3 linked regions of the Callithrix jacchus genome follow. The protein of the gene in region 2 interacts with the protein of the main gene of each other region in a pairwise test. Links are inferred from orthologs where the notes say so. Each region holds a gene or a part of one and is shown on either strand. Other genes may lie near its edges.

The links.
Region 1: the proteins of PPL (region 2) and ZSCAN1 interact in binary tests that used the Homo sapiens proteins (3 or more experiments, as listed by UniProt). The two-hybrid records come from large-scale screens. The link is inferred for Callithrix jacchus from reciprocal best matches to the Homo sapiens genes PPL and ZSCAN1.
Region 3: the proteins of PPL (region 2) and RAB3IP interact in binary tests that used the Homo sapiens proteins (3 or more experiments, as listed by UniProt). The two-hybrid records come from large-scale screens. The link is inferred for Callithrix jacchus from reciprocal best matches to the Homo sapiens genes PPL and RAB3IP.

The regions. Positions count from the first base shown.
Region 1 is NC_133523.1:50,755,296-50,758,942, forward strand, and holds part of ZSCAN1 (zinc finger and SCAN domain-containing protein 1), read left to right. Parts: intron 1-2,105; coding exon 2,106-2,244; intron 2,245-2,741; coding exon 2,742-3,364; 3' UTR 3,365-3,647. UniProt on the Homo sapiens protein: May be involved in transcriptional regulation.
Region 2 is NC_133513.1:6,999,033-7,002,258, forward strand, and holds the end of PPL (periplakin), read right to left. Parts: coding exon 1,449-3,226; 3' UTR 588-1,448; downstream 1-587. UniProt on the Homo sapiens protein: Component of the cornified envelope of keratinocytes. May link the cornified envelope to desmosomes and intermediate filaments. May act as a localization signal in PKB/AKT-mediated signaling.
Region 3 is NC_133510.1:72,312,645-72,316,765, forward strand, and holds the start of RAB3IP (rab-3A-interacting protein), read left to right. Parts: upstream 1-1,227; 5' UTR 1,228-1,752; coding exon 1,753-1,763; intron 1,764-4,121. UniProt on the Homo sapiens protein: Guanine nucleotide exchange factor (GEF) which may activate RAB8A and RAB8B. Promotes the exchange of GDP to GTP, converting inactive GDP-bound Rab proteins into their active GTP-bound form.

The sequences.
Region 1 (3,647 bases), on a different chromosome or scaffold from region 2:
AAGAGCGAAACTCCGTCTCAAAAAAAAAAAAAAAAAAAAAAAAGATAATTTCTGAGCCGGGCGCGGCGGCTGACACCTATAATCCCAGCACTTTGGGAGGCCGAGGCGGGTGGATCACGAGGTCAAGAGATCGAGACCATCCTGGTCAACATGGTGAAACCCCGTCTCTACTAAAGATACAAAAAATTAGCTGCGCACGGTGGCGCGTGCCTGTAATCCCAGCTACTCAGGAGGCTGAGGCAGGAGAATTGCCTGAACCCATGGGGCGGAGGTTGCGGTGAGCCGAGATCGCGCCATTGCACTCCAGCCTGGGCAACAAGAGCGAAACTCCGTGTCAAAAAAAAAAAAAAAAGAAAGTCGCATCTTTACTCCTGCAGATGGTGGCTCCTCTGGTGACAATTTCAGAATTTGACATGTTTTAAAATCAAAACTAGCAATGGCTAAGAAATAAAAATCAACAACCCAGCCAAACACACCATCCACATACTCCCAATGTGAGAGCAGGAAAATCCTGCGTCCTTTTTTTTTTTGAGACGGAGTTTCGCTCTTGTTACCCAGGCTGGAGTGCAATGGCACGATCTCGGCTCACCGCAACCTCCGCCTCCTGAGTTCAGGCAATTCTCCTGCCTCAGCCTCCCGAGTAGCTGGGATTACAGGCACGCACCACCGTGCCCAGCTAATTTTTGTATTTTTAGTAGAGAAGGGGTTTCACCTTGTTGACCAGGATGGTCTCAATCTCTTGACCTCGTGATCCACCCGCCTCAGCCTCCCTAAGTGCTGGGATTTTAGGCGTGAGCTACTGCGCCTGGGCGAAATCTTGTGTCTTAACTCCCTTCGGGCCATCAGCTCCCTCCCTCCCTACCTCCTCAGTCGCCAGCCCTGCAATCTCTGCATGCCTGTCCTGCCCAGCTGTTAGGACAGCTTCCTTAGGCCCCTGTGCATCCAGGTAGGGTTGGGGCAGGAGAAAGTGGAGACCCACCCAAGACAGGCCTGCTGGATTCTTGGTCTCTTCTCAGGCTTTGTTTGACCCGACACACTTTCCCCAACAACCTGATTTGCATTGACAAATGTCAGTGTTTTTCCTTTGCTACGACCCTCCTGCAGTACGCCGAGCCCTTGATGGTAACAGGCTGTGGGCACATAGCACCCACATCCTCATTTGAAGCCCAGAGAGCTAAAGCACCTCAGCCAGGGCCACACAGCAAGTGGGGCTGAGCCTGGACACCAAGCCAGACCCCTCTGTTTCAAATTCTTCTTCTCTCTTCCTCTTCCTCCTTTCTCCTCCTCTTCCTTCTTCTTCCTCCTTTTCCTTCTCTTTCTCCTTGTATCGCTCTTGTGGCCCAGTCTGGAGTGCAATCTTTGCTTGCTGCAACCTCCACCTGCCGGTTTCAAGTGATTCTCTTGCTTCAGCCTCCTGAGTAGCTGTGATTATTACATTTTTTCATATTTTTGGTAGAGTTGAGGTTTCTCCATGTTGGTCAGGCTAGTCTCGAACTCCTGACCTTAGGTGATCTCCCTGCCTAGAAAGTGGTGACCCCGGTTTTGGGTGGGACAGGCTTAGGAGTGCAGAGGTCATAGGTTGCAGGTGGGATGTGAAGCCTGTGTGGTTACCCATCTTCTCTGAGCTTGTGGGGAAGGGCAGTGCAGCCTTGGGGAGGCTGTAACCCGCCAGAGGAGCTTGGAACTCTGGTGGGTAACAGTGACCCGAGCTGCAAGGCATAGGTCCCCTGGCTCTAGCTAATGCTCTGTTGTCACTGTCCTGAAACGGTCAACGATTTTTGAACAAGGAGACTTGCATTTCAATTTTGTACAGCGGCCCCTTGAATTCTGTCTCAGGTCCTGGTAAGAGCTCCTTGGGAGTTATTATTTATTTTTTGTATAAATGAGGTCTTGCTATGTTGCCTAGGCTGGTCCCCAAATCCTGGCCTCAAGCGATCCTCCGGGCATCCTCATGGGCATCCCAAACACAGGAACGACAGGCGCATACCACCGCACGCCGCCCTGGGAGAGCCTTTGGCGACGACCCGTTCCTTGGTTGTTCGGTGATGGGGGTAGGACAGCACCTGAGGGGCAGGTGCGGAACAGTCCTGTGCTTGTCATTCCAGGCGTCTGAGCTGATCCTGGATGCGGCAGCGGCAGCCTCGGCACCCCCAGAGGAAAGCGAGTGGCCGGAGCCCACCCAGCTCCCGCAGGGTGTGCACACGAGGGCAGAGGCCGAGCCACCCCGCGCCCCTGGCTCGATGGGTGAGTCTGGCTCTTGTGCAGATTAAAGTTTGGAAATGCAGTTTGGGACCTCAACCTAAAGCCGCAGACTTTGTTAATGGGTGGAGTTAGGGGCTTCGGTGGTGAACTCCACACTTCCCCAGAAACCATACAAACCTTCCGTGGGGACTGAGGTCTGGGGCCCCTAGAACCACCATGCACATTCTTCACCCCACAAGAAGGGCCTCTGCCTCCCCACCTGAACGGCAGCCAAGCCAGACAGACTGAGAGTGTTGGAGCAGGGGGTTACCCAGAGGGCCAGCCAGGTAGGAACGAGGGGTCAGTGCTGACGGATCTGCCCCCAAAACATGTGCCCACCTATCTTGAAGGACAGGACGGAGGGCAGAGGGGCCATATTGAGCAGGGGAAGGACCTGGACTTGGCTCAGTCATTGGGGTCCTCCATGCCCCTCAGGCACAAAGGGAGGTGCCAAGGCAGTCCACTCACTACAGGTGACCCGTCTCCCTCACTCTCCACAGGGTCCCGGGCCCGCTTGCCTCTGAAGCCAAGTATCTGGGACGAGCCTGAGGAAATTCTCCCAGGGCCCTCCTCAGACCTGCGGGCAGAAGGGGCTGTGACCTCGGGCCCCAAGGGTCTGAGTGCTCAGAGAATCAGTCCCCGAAAGAAAAACAGGAACACCAACCAGGGCGGCCGCCGGCAGCCATCCCTCAAGCACACCAAAGCTGGCACCCAAGAGGCTGCTACAGGCACCCCGGGAGCGCCGCGTGGGCCCCGAGGGGGGAGGCCTTTCCAGTGTGCCGACTGTGGGATGGTCTTCACCTGGGTCACCCACTTTATCGAGCATCAGAAGACCCATCGCGAAGAGGGGCCCTTTCCGTGCCCTGAGTGTGGCAAGGTCTTCCTGCACAGCTCCGTCCTCGCTGAGCACAGCAAGATCCACCTGCTGGAGCCACCCAAGAAGAAAGGCCCCCGGAGCAAGGGCCCCCGGGAATCCGCCCCACCCAGGGATGGAGCCCAGGATCCGGCGGCCCCTCGCAGCCCCAAGAGGCCCTTCCGATGCAGCGTCTGCGGGAAGTCCTTCCCCTGGATGGTCCACCTCATCGACCACCAGAAGCTCCACACTGTTCATGGCCACATGTGAATGGCCAGCCTCGGGCCTCAGCCACCCAGCCTTGAGTCCCTGGGGGGCACCGATGGGCCCCAGAAGGTGGGGACATCCCCCAGCCCCACCAATCCCTGGCCACCGCTGTTTCACAGAAGATCCTGGACACCTGCTCTGTGGTCTCCACCCAGCATGGGAGGGGGCATCCCAGGGTCTCGGCTGAGAGGCAGCAGTTCCACAGCGTAGCCTGGTCAATCGTGCACACTGTGTTTTGCAAGTGGATTGAAGACGAGTTTCATTAGTGTCTCATTTTTCAGAAGCC
Region 2 (3,226 bases):
GGGTCCCAGCCCCTCCTTCCTTTCCCTTTGGTGCTCCCTCCTCCCCACGTACCATTGCGCGCGCAGCTGGAGCAGAATTACCCTCATTTTTAGGAATCTAGTGACGCCTCTTGCCTCAGGGAAATGTTTCTTTGATGGGGAGTTTGAGATTTCTTTTTCTTGTTTATGCTTTATTTGTGGTAATGAAAGAGCGAATGACTGAACAGCCATGGCAGGGCAGATCCATAGGCGAAGCCGCGGCAGAGCGGCCTCGGGGTCTGGGGGCTGCAGCGGTTTCCTTGGCGCAGCAAGCGTCTCTGAGCACTTACCAGGCGTGGCCGTTTCTTAGGTGTGAGAGGGGCTGTGGCTTTTGTGCAGCGACTATGTTGGTGTTAGGGGTGGTGTGGAGATTGTTAATCTTGTATAAAGCGATTCAATAAATTGTTTCAAGGTTTCCAAAACATTTTTTTACTCTTTTCTTTCTACCCTGTGCAAGTGGTGCTTCTGTAGGAGCTGGTATGTATGGAATATCCATTTTGGCTGAAAGACAAGAGGGAGTGGGGGAAATAAGCCTTGCATGCAAAAGAAGAAACGAGCTGACCATCCAGTAGACTCCAGCCACCAGGTTTATTTTCATGCTGTAAATAAAGGTCCCCATTGTTCCCATTTTCTGTTATACATGAGATACAGAGAACCAGAAATGTGCTTGGTGAATAATCAACTGTTTTGTATACCTAAATACCAACGAGATAGTAAGCGAGACTTGTAAAGCACTGAAACCAGGGCTAACAGCAACACAATCCACTATCAGAGGATTTCAGTGCCAGAACTGTGAAGTGTTCCCTATCGCTGCTGGGACAGTCCGGCTGACAGTTCCTGCCCACTCTAGCACCGAGGGCTGGACACTTGTGATTTCTCTTTGCCTTCCCTGGCATGGAGCCCAGATCTGTTTCATGAGCAGAGTAACTACCAAGGAGGCTTCTCTGCTGGAAAGTTGGTTTTAAGTCAGAAATCTGGAGAGACATCATGGCGGGCAGCAGCCCCAATGGGCCTAGCCCTTTGTAGGGCAGTGTCACTGTCTGGTGTGCCAGTGCCCATGCTGCCTTGAGTGGGCTTGGCTGCTGTGGTCGTCTTGTCCTCTAGTGGTTTGCAGGTTGTGTGCAGCTATCACGAGGAGTTTGTTGCTGGGAGTGTACGGGAAAGGGGAGGAAAAAAGGGTATCGGATTTGTCCAGTCACTGGAGGATGAAGTGGGTCACTCAGAGTGAATGGTGGTTGGGATGAGAGTTGCCTGTCTTCAGCCAGTGCCTGTCCCATATTTGGGCTAGACTTTGACAACCTGGCAGCGAGGGTGTTTGTTTATAAAATGCTTGGCCTGCACAGGGCCAGGGAGAAGACGACACCAAGGAGGCCACTGCGTCGTAAGAGAGGGCCAGCATCTGCCGCTAAGAAGAGTTGCAAGGGCTGTGCCTACTTCTGCCCAGACACCAAGACCGCCAGCTCCTGGATGGACATATCCTTGTTGACATAACGGTCGTACTGAGCAGGGGTCAACCTGCCGCTCTGCAGGGCCTCTTCGATGGAGAACTTCTTGCCAGATTTCCTGTCGTGTATCACTGAGGACTCCCCGTTGGGCCCCTTCACTGAGATCTCCTCCCAGTCACACTCCTGGCTTTTGAGTTTCACAAGCATGCTCCAGTCAATGAGCCCGGCGCGGTGGGCTTCCTCCGGGGACAGCTCGCGGCCTGTGTCGGGGTGGATGACCACGATGGAGCGCCGCAGGTGGTTCTCCCGCTGCTCCCGCTTGACGGCCACGGAGCCCAGGCGCCTCTGCAGCTCGTCGATCTCGAGGTCTTTGTCCTTGGAGAGCCTCTTGAGGTCATCCAGTTCCCTCTCCAGGGACCACAGTCTAGAGTCGTGATTGGTCCCAGAGTCTGCCACGGTCATGTTCCGCAGGTCTTGTGTTTCCGTCGCTGCCATTTCAATTTCCGATTGCAGCCTTCGGGTCTCTAGCTGCAGGTTTTGCCGCTCTAGTTGTAATTTGTGGTTCTCTTCCCTTAGAAAGTCTAGTTCCTTGGACGACTTGGAGTTACGGAATTCCAGCTCCGAAAGCCGGGCTTCCAGCCGGCTCACTTCGGCGTCCAGCTCACGCTTGCTGCGGCTCTCCTCCTCCAGGCTGCTCTTGAGCCTCTGGATCTCTTGCTCAGTGTTGCCCTTCTCCACCTGGACGCTCTCGGAAAACACCACCTTCTCCTTGACTTCCGCCTTCTCCAGGGCGGCCAGCTTCCTCCGCAGGGTCTCGAGCTCACCCTCCAAGAGTTGCCGCCGGTGCTGTTCTTCCTCCAGCTGCAGTCGGAGCAGGGCATGCTCGCGGGCCTGCTGCGGGTCCTGCTGCAGCACTACCTTCTGCTTGCGGGTCACCTTCTCAAGGGCCTCAGCTTCTTCCTGCTCCAGCACTGCCAGCCGCTGCTGCAGCCGCTGCACCTCGCGTTCAGCCTCCCTGCGGGCCTGCCGCTCTCGCTCCAACTCCTCCAGCTGCCGCTCAAGTTCGGTGCGCCGGCGCTGTAGCCGCCGCAGCTCCGCACGCAGCTTGTCGATCTGCCGCAGCTCCACGTCGATGCTCTCGGCGAAGGAGCTCACCTCGGCCCTCAGGCCAGGCTCCTCCTCGTACCTGACTACTTCCTGCTGCACCACTCTTTCCTTCACCTGTGAGAGCTCCTCCTCCTTCCGGGCAATCTGCTCTTCCTGGGAAGCCCTCTCCCTCTCCAGGTCCACTTGTCTCTTCTGCTCCTCTGAGAGCTTTGCCCTCAGAGACTCCACCTCCTCCTTCGTTTGAGGGTCTTCCTGAAATTGGAGGATCTCCTGGACCACCTCTTTGGTCTGGACCTGGGGTTTGGTGTCTTTCAGGGCCTGGATTTCCTGCTTCAGCTGGTAGATCTCTAAATCACACCTCTCTATCAGTCTGGTCTTATCCACGATCTCTTCCCTGAGCCGCTGAAGCTCCTTCTCCATCTCGGGGTCAGTCTTGTACTTAATGACTTCCTTAGTCACCTCTTTGACTTCCACCTGGGGGCCCCGCCTCCTGAGGGCCTCCAGCTCACTCTGGTAGCTCCGGAGCTGCTCCTCAGCCCCCCGGTACTTTCGCTCCTGCTCCACAAGCTCCAGGCGGAGGTTGGCCACTTCACTCTCTGCTTTGGGGTCTGGCCGCACGATCTCACGCACCTTCTCCTGCACCACCACTTTGGCAT
Region 3 (4,121 bases), on a different chromosome or scaffold from region 2:
CTGACTCCAACAGCCATACACATGGTCTACTTTTCTTTACTGCCTCTAATAGATGAGATTAATACCCAGAATGATAGTCCTATTCAATATGTGTATCACATAAATTGCACGTTTCTCTTTTGCTATATATAAACTCATACGATAACTGCTTCTTTATTTTCTGATTTTTGGGAGCTTGGCTCTTTTTGTATTTTTCCTTCCTGGAGGACCTAAAGTGGTATGGAAGTTTGATAAAACAGTTGACAGAAAAGATGAGATAATGCAAGTACAGACATTCTCGAACGCTCTGGCAGTTGCTGGAATGATGGGATCTGGGTTCTACAAGATTCCTCCCCTCCCATCCTCCGCCACACACACACGTCGAAAGGCTTATATGGCCACGGAGTCTCAGGTTGGTTCTAGGAGTCCTCAATTCATGGCGAAGTTACCTCTTCTCCTTCATGGGGAGCCCAACATGCTTCAAGTCAACCTGAGGCCGCCTCTCCGGCCCGCGCTCATTCCAAGGGAAACCGCCCGCGGAGGAACCTGGCGCCAGGTCTTTGACACCTGCGACGCGCCCCGCCTGGCGCCAGGGGGCGCGGAAACGCGTCCGCCCCCAGGCCTCAAGCCGGGTTCGCCCCGCCCCTGCCGGCCACACCCCCCTCCCCGCCCTCCGTCTGTGAGGATCCGCGGCTCCCGGCCCCGGCCCGGCTCCCGGCCCCGGCCCCGCTCCCGGCGCAGGCGCAGGCGCAGTCCCGTGTTCCCTCAGCAGCTGCCGGCGCCTTGAGCCCGCCGCCACGGAGTGTAGCTGGAAGGGCTCGCCGCCCTCCTCCGCCTCTCGCTGCTTCGGGGCGCGCTCTCTGCGGCTCTGCGAGCGCCCCTGAGCGCCGGCCGCAGCCGCGGTGCTTTAGTCAGGTGAGTGCGGCCACGGGAGGGAGAGGCCCGGGGCGTGGAGCACCGCCCCACTCGGCGCCAGCGCACCCGCCTACCGCGAGTCGGCCGGGAGAGGCGGCCGCGGCAGGTGCAGGTGCCGGCGCCGGGGAGGGCGCGGGCGGCGGGGGTTCGGCGGGATGCCCCGGTTCGGCGAGCGCGCTGTCCGCCTGGGCACTCGGGCTCTGGGCCCTTGGGGGCGGCGTGGGGGGGGCTCGGCGCCCCGGGTCAGCCGGCCACCCCCTAGTGGGCGTCGTTCGGCGGCTCCTCCCCCGGGCTCGGGCGCGTTACTCATTAACTGCGCGGTCCCGCGTCCCCGGGGTGGGGAACCAGAGCCGGACGGGTTACCTGGCTGCTGGCAGGCGGGCGCGCGGGGGCGGCCGAGAGAAGAAGGCCAGGGTCGCAGAGTGGGTGAAGAGAGTTCCCGAGCAAGTCGGAAGCCGCTCACAACACCGGACACCGCGCGGCAGGGCTGTGGACGAGGCTGTAGCTGTGGACCTGTGGTGGTTTCGTGCCCCAGTCTTAGGAAACGACGCGCAAGGCACCGTGCCGAGGCGTAGAGGTCACCCTCGGGAGGTTTCGGTGAAAACTGGTGGGAAATTACAGGCAGGTGCCCGGAGTCGCGCCCGAGGATCTCCGTGCAGCCCGACTAGTGTTCCGGGGAGTTGAGACGAGCTGCACTGGTGGGATTGCACCGGCTCTGCCCTCCCAGCGTTGACTATTCGCCCGGCCGTCCGGGAAAGCGCGAGCTTCCTGGCTCCAGAAGTGATGATGCTGCTGGGTAGAAGCCGCAGCAAGTGAAGAGTTGCCAGTTGTTATGGGATTAAAAAAGAGATCTCTGCAATGGCTAAGGGGTAAGGTCTTGAAAGACAGGAGCGCTGAGTTAGTACTGATTCCCGAGAGGAAATTTAGTTTCGTGGAATTGTTGCCTGTTCGGAGGCTACCTGTTATACACTCTCCTGCTACCCACCCCCACCTTTCAGTGTCGGGTTAACAGCCTTGTAGTCTCTTACAGTGGAATGATTGCGTAATTGGAGGGGCCCATAAGAGGATTACAACAAAACTGGTCCATTGTAAATCAGCTGAAAGACCTAGTTCTTGTTCATTATCGTTTTTCTCATTTTGTTGTTCATGAAGGTTTTTTTTAAATGGTGAATGACAAATCAAGGAGAAAAGAGGCAGAATAGGGTTGTAGACCAATCATAGTAAATATTTGATACTGTTAAATATTTCACCAGTTTTATGGGGCCTTGTTCTGTTACCATTTGTTATTTATTTACTGGTACTGTGCATTTCTATAGGACTTTTCGTGTTTGGGCAGACATTGTATTCCAGATACAGTTTATGTGATCTAATGCTAAAGCCCTTGTGGAATTTATAGAAATAAACAGGCAATTAAGTAGTCTATTTTTTTAATGATTAGAGGAAAAGCCTTTGCATTTTTTTCCATTAATGTTGTGAACCAAGGTGTTTAATATAACTCTTCTTGTGTGTTTGGCAAACAGCTCATCTGTGGTACTGAATACTTGTAACCTTTCACCAGGATGGCTATTTGATGTTTAGCTGCTTTGTGGGATTTCTGAATAGATCCTATTATACTTTTTGAATTAGTGTAGTTAACCATATGCTTCCTTTAATATATTTTATCTTTTATTTTCCCTAAACTCTCATCTTCCTCCAACACACACACACATCCTCTACAAGTAATTTTTAAAATGGAAAGGTTCTTAGAAATCTTTCACCCCCTCATTTTTTAAACATGGCAGGAAAAAAACCTTGTCGATTACAGTAGTTTTATATGCATTATGGTAGTTAGTATACTTTATTCTCCTCAGCAGGATGCAGTGAACAAATTAGTGAGCTGGGTGAATGAAAAATTATTTAAGGTTCAGCTCCCTCACTTACTATGCATAAACCTTGAGTAAATCATTTAACCTCTTTGAGCTTATTTTCTCCATTTGTCAATGGAGATACTATTAGATTGAAATCGCTAATATTCTGCTGTTTATGTTTCAACTAATATGAACTTCCTAATGGTGAGATGAGGATTTAATAAGATACTCCATTAGAGATGAGGGGAAGCGGAGAAGGAACAAACATGAGCTTGATTGTGTGCAAGGCAATGTGTGTGCTTGTTTTCGGTACCTTGATTCTTTAGTCCTCTGGACATTCCTGTGATATAGGTGGTTTATCAAATTTTACAAATCAGGAAATGGAGGCTTAGAAAGTTATAATAATTTGGCTGGACGCCGTGGCTCACACCGGTAATCCCAACATTTTGGGAGGCTGAGGTGGTGGATCACGAGGTCAGGAGTTCGAGACCAGCTTGACTAAAACGGTGAAACTGTGTCTCTACTAAAAATACGAAAATTAGCCTATCATGGTGTTGTGTACCTGTAATCCCAGCTACTTAGGAGGCTGAGGCAGGAGAATTGCTTGAACCTGGGAGGCGGAGGTTGCAGTGAGCCCAGATGGTGCCACTGTACTCCAGCCTGGGTGACAGAGTGAGACTCAGTCAACAAAAGAAAGTTGCAGTAATTTGTCTGTAGTTAACTTAGTTGTCAGTGGTCATAGAGATGGCCAGTGACAGAGCCACTATTAAAAACTGTATCTGACTGCCCAAAGTGGAACTTGGTGCTCTTGTTTCTTACGTGGTATGTACTTTCTGTTAAAGAGCTTTGTAACTATAAGGAGGCACACAGATCACAAGTGTTACCATTTGTATATTTGGTTTAAAAATACTCAAGTTTTCCGATGACAGTGATAGCAGCATTGCTACTACAGTTATGTTTCAGTCTAGTGCTTATCATGCCAAGTCCTGGTCTAAGCATTATACTAACTCATTTACTCTCACAGTGAGCCAGGAGATAATACTTCATCCTTGTTTTATAGTTGAGAAAATTGAGATGCTGAGACCTTATGTAGTTTGCCCAAGGTCACATAGTTAATTAAGTGACAGGTCTAGATTAGATGTCAGACAGTTTGTCTTCCATGTCTGTGCTCTTAACCACTACACTCTGTCATTTCTTCATGGCTTAAGTGGTAATGCGGAAGAATTGTGTGCTCATAATCACTACATTATCACTTGTTTATGTATAGCTTATAATGCTGAGGAACTGTTTTTAATTTAGCTTTTATGAGATATGTAATATTAATGTAACATGTAATTCTCATGTGTCACCAGAGATTTTTTAAATCAAATATTCATTGAG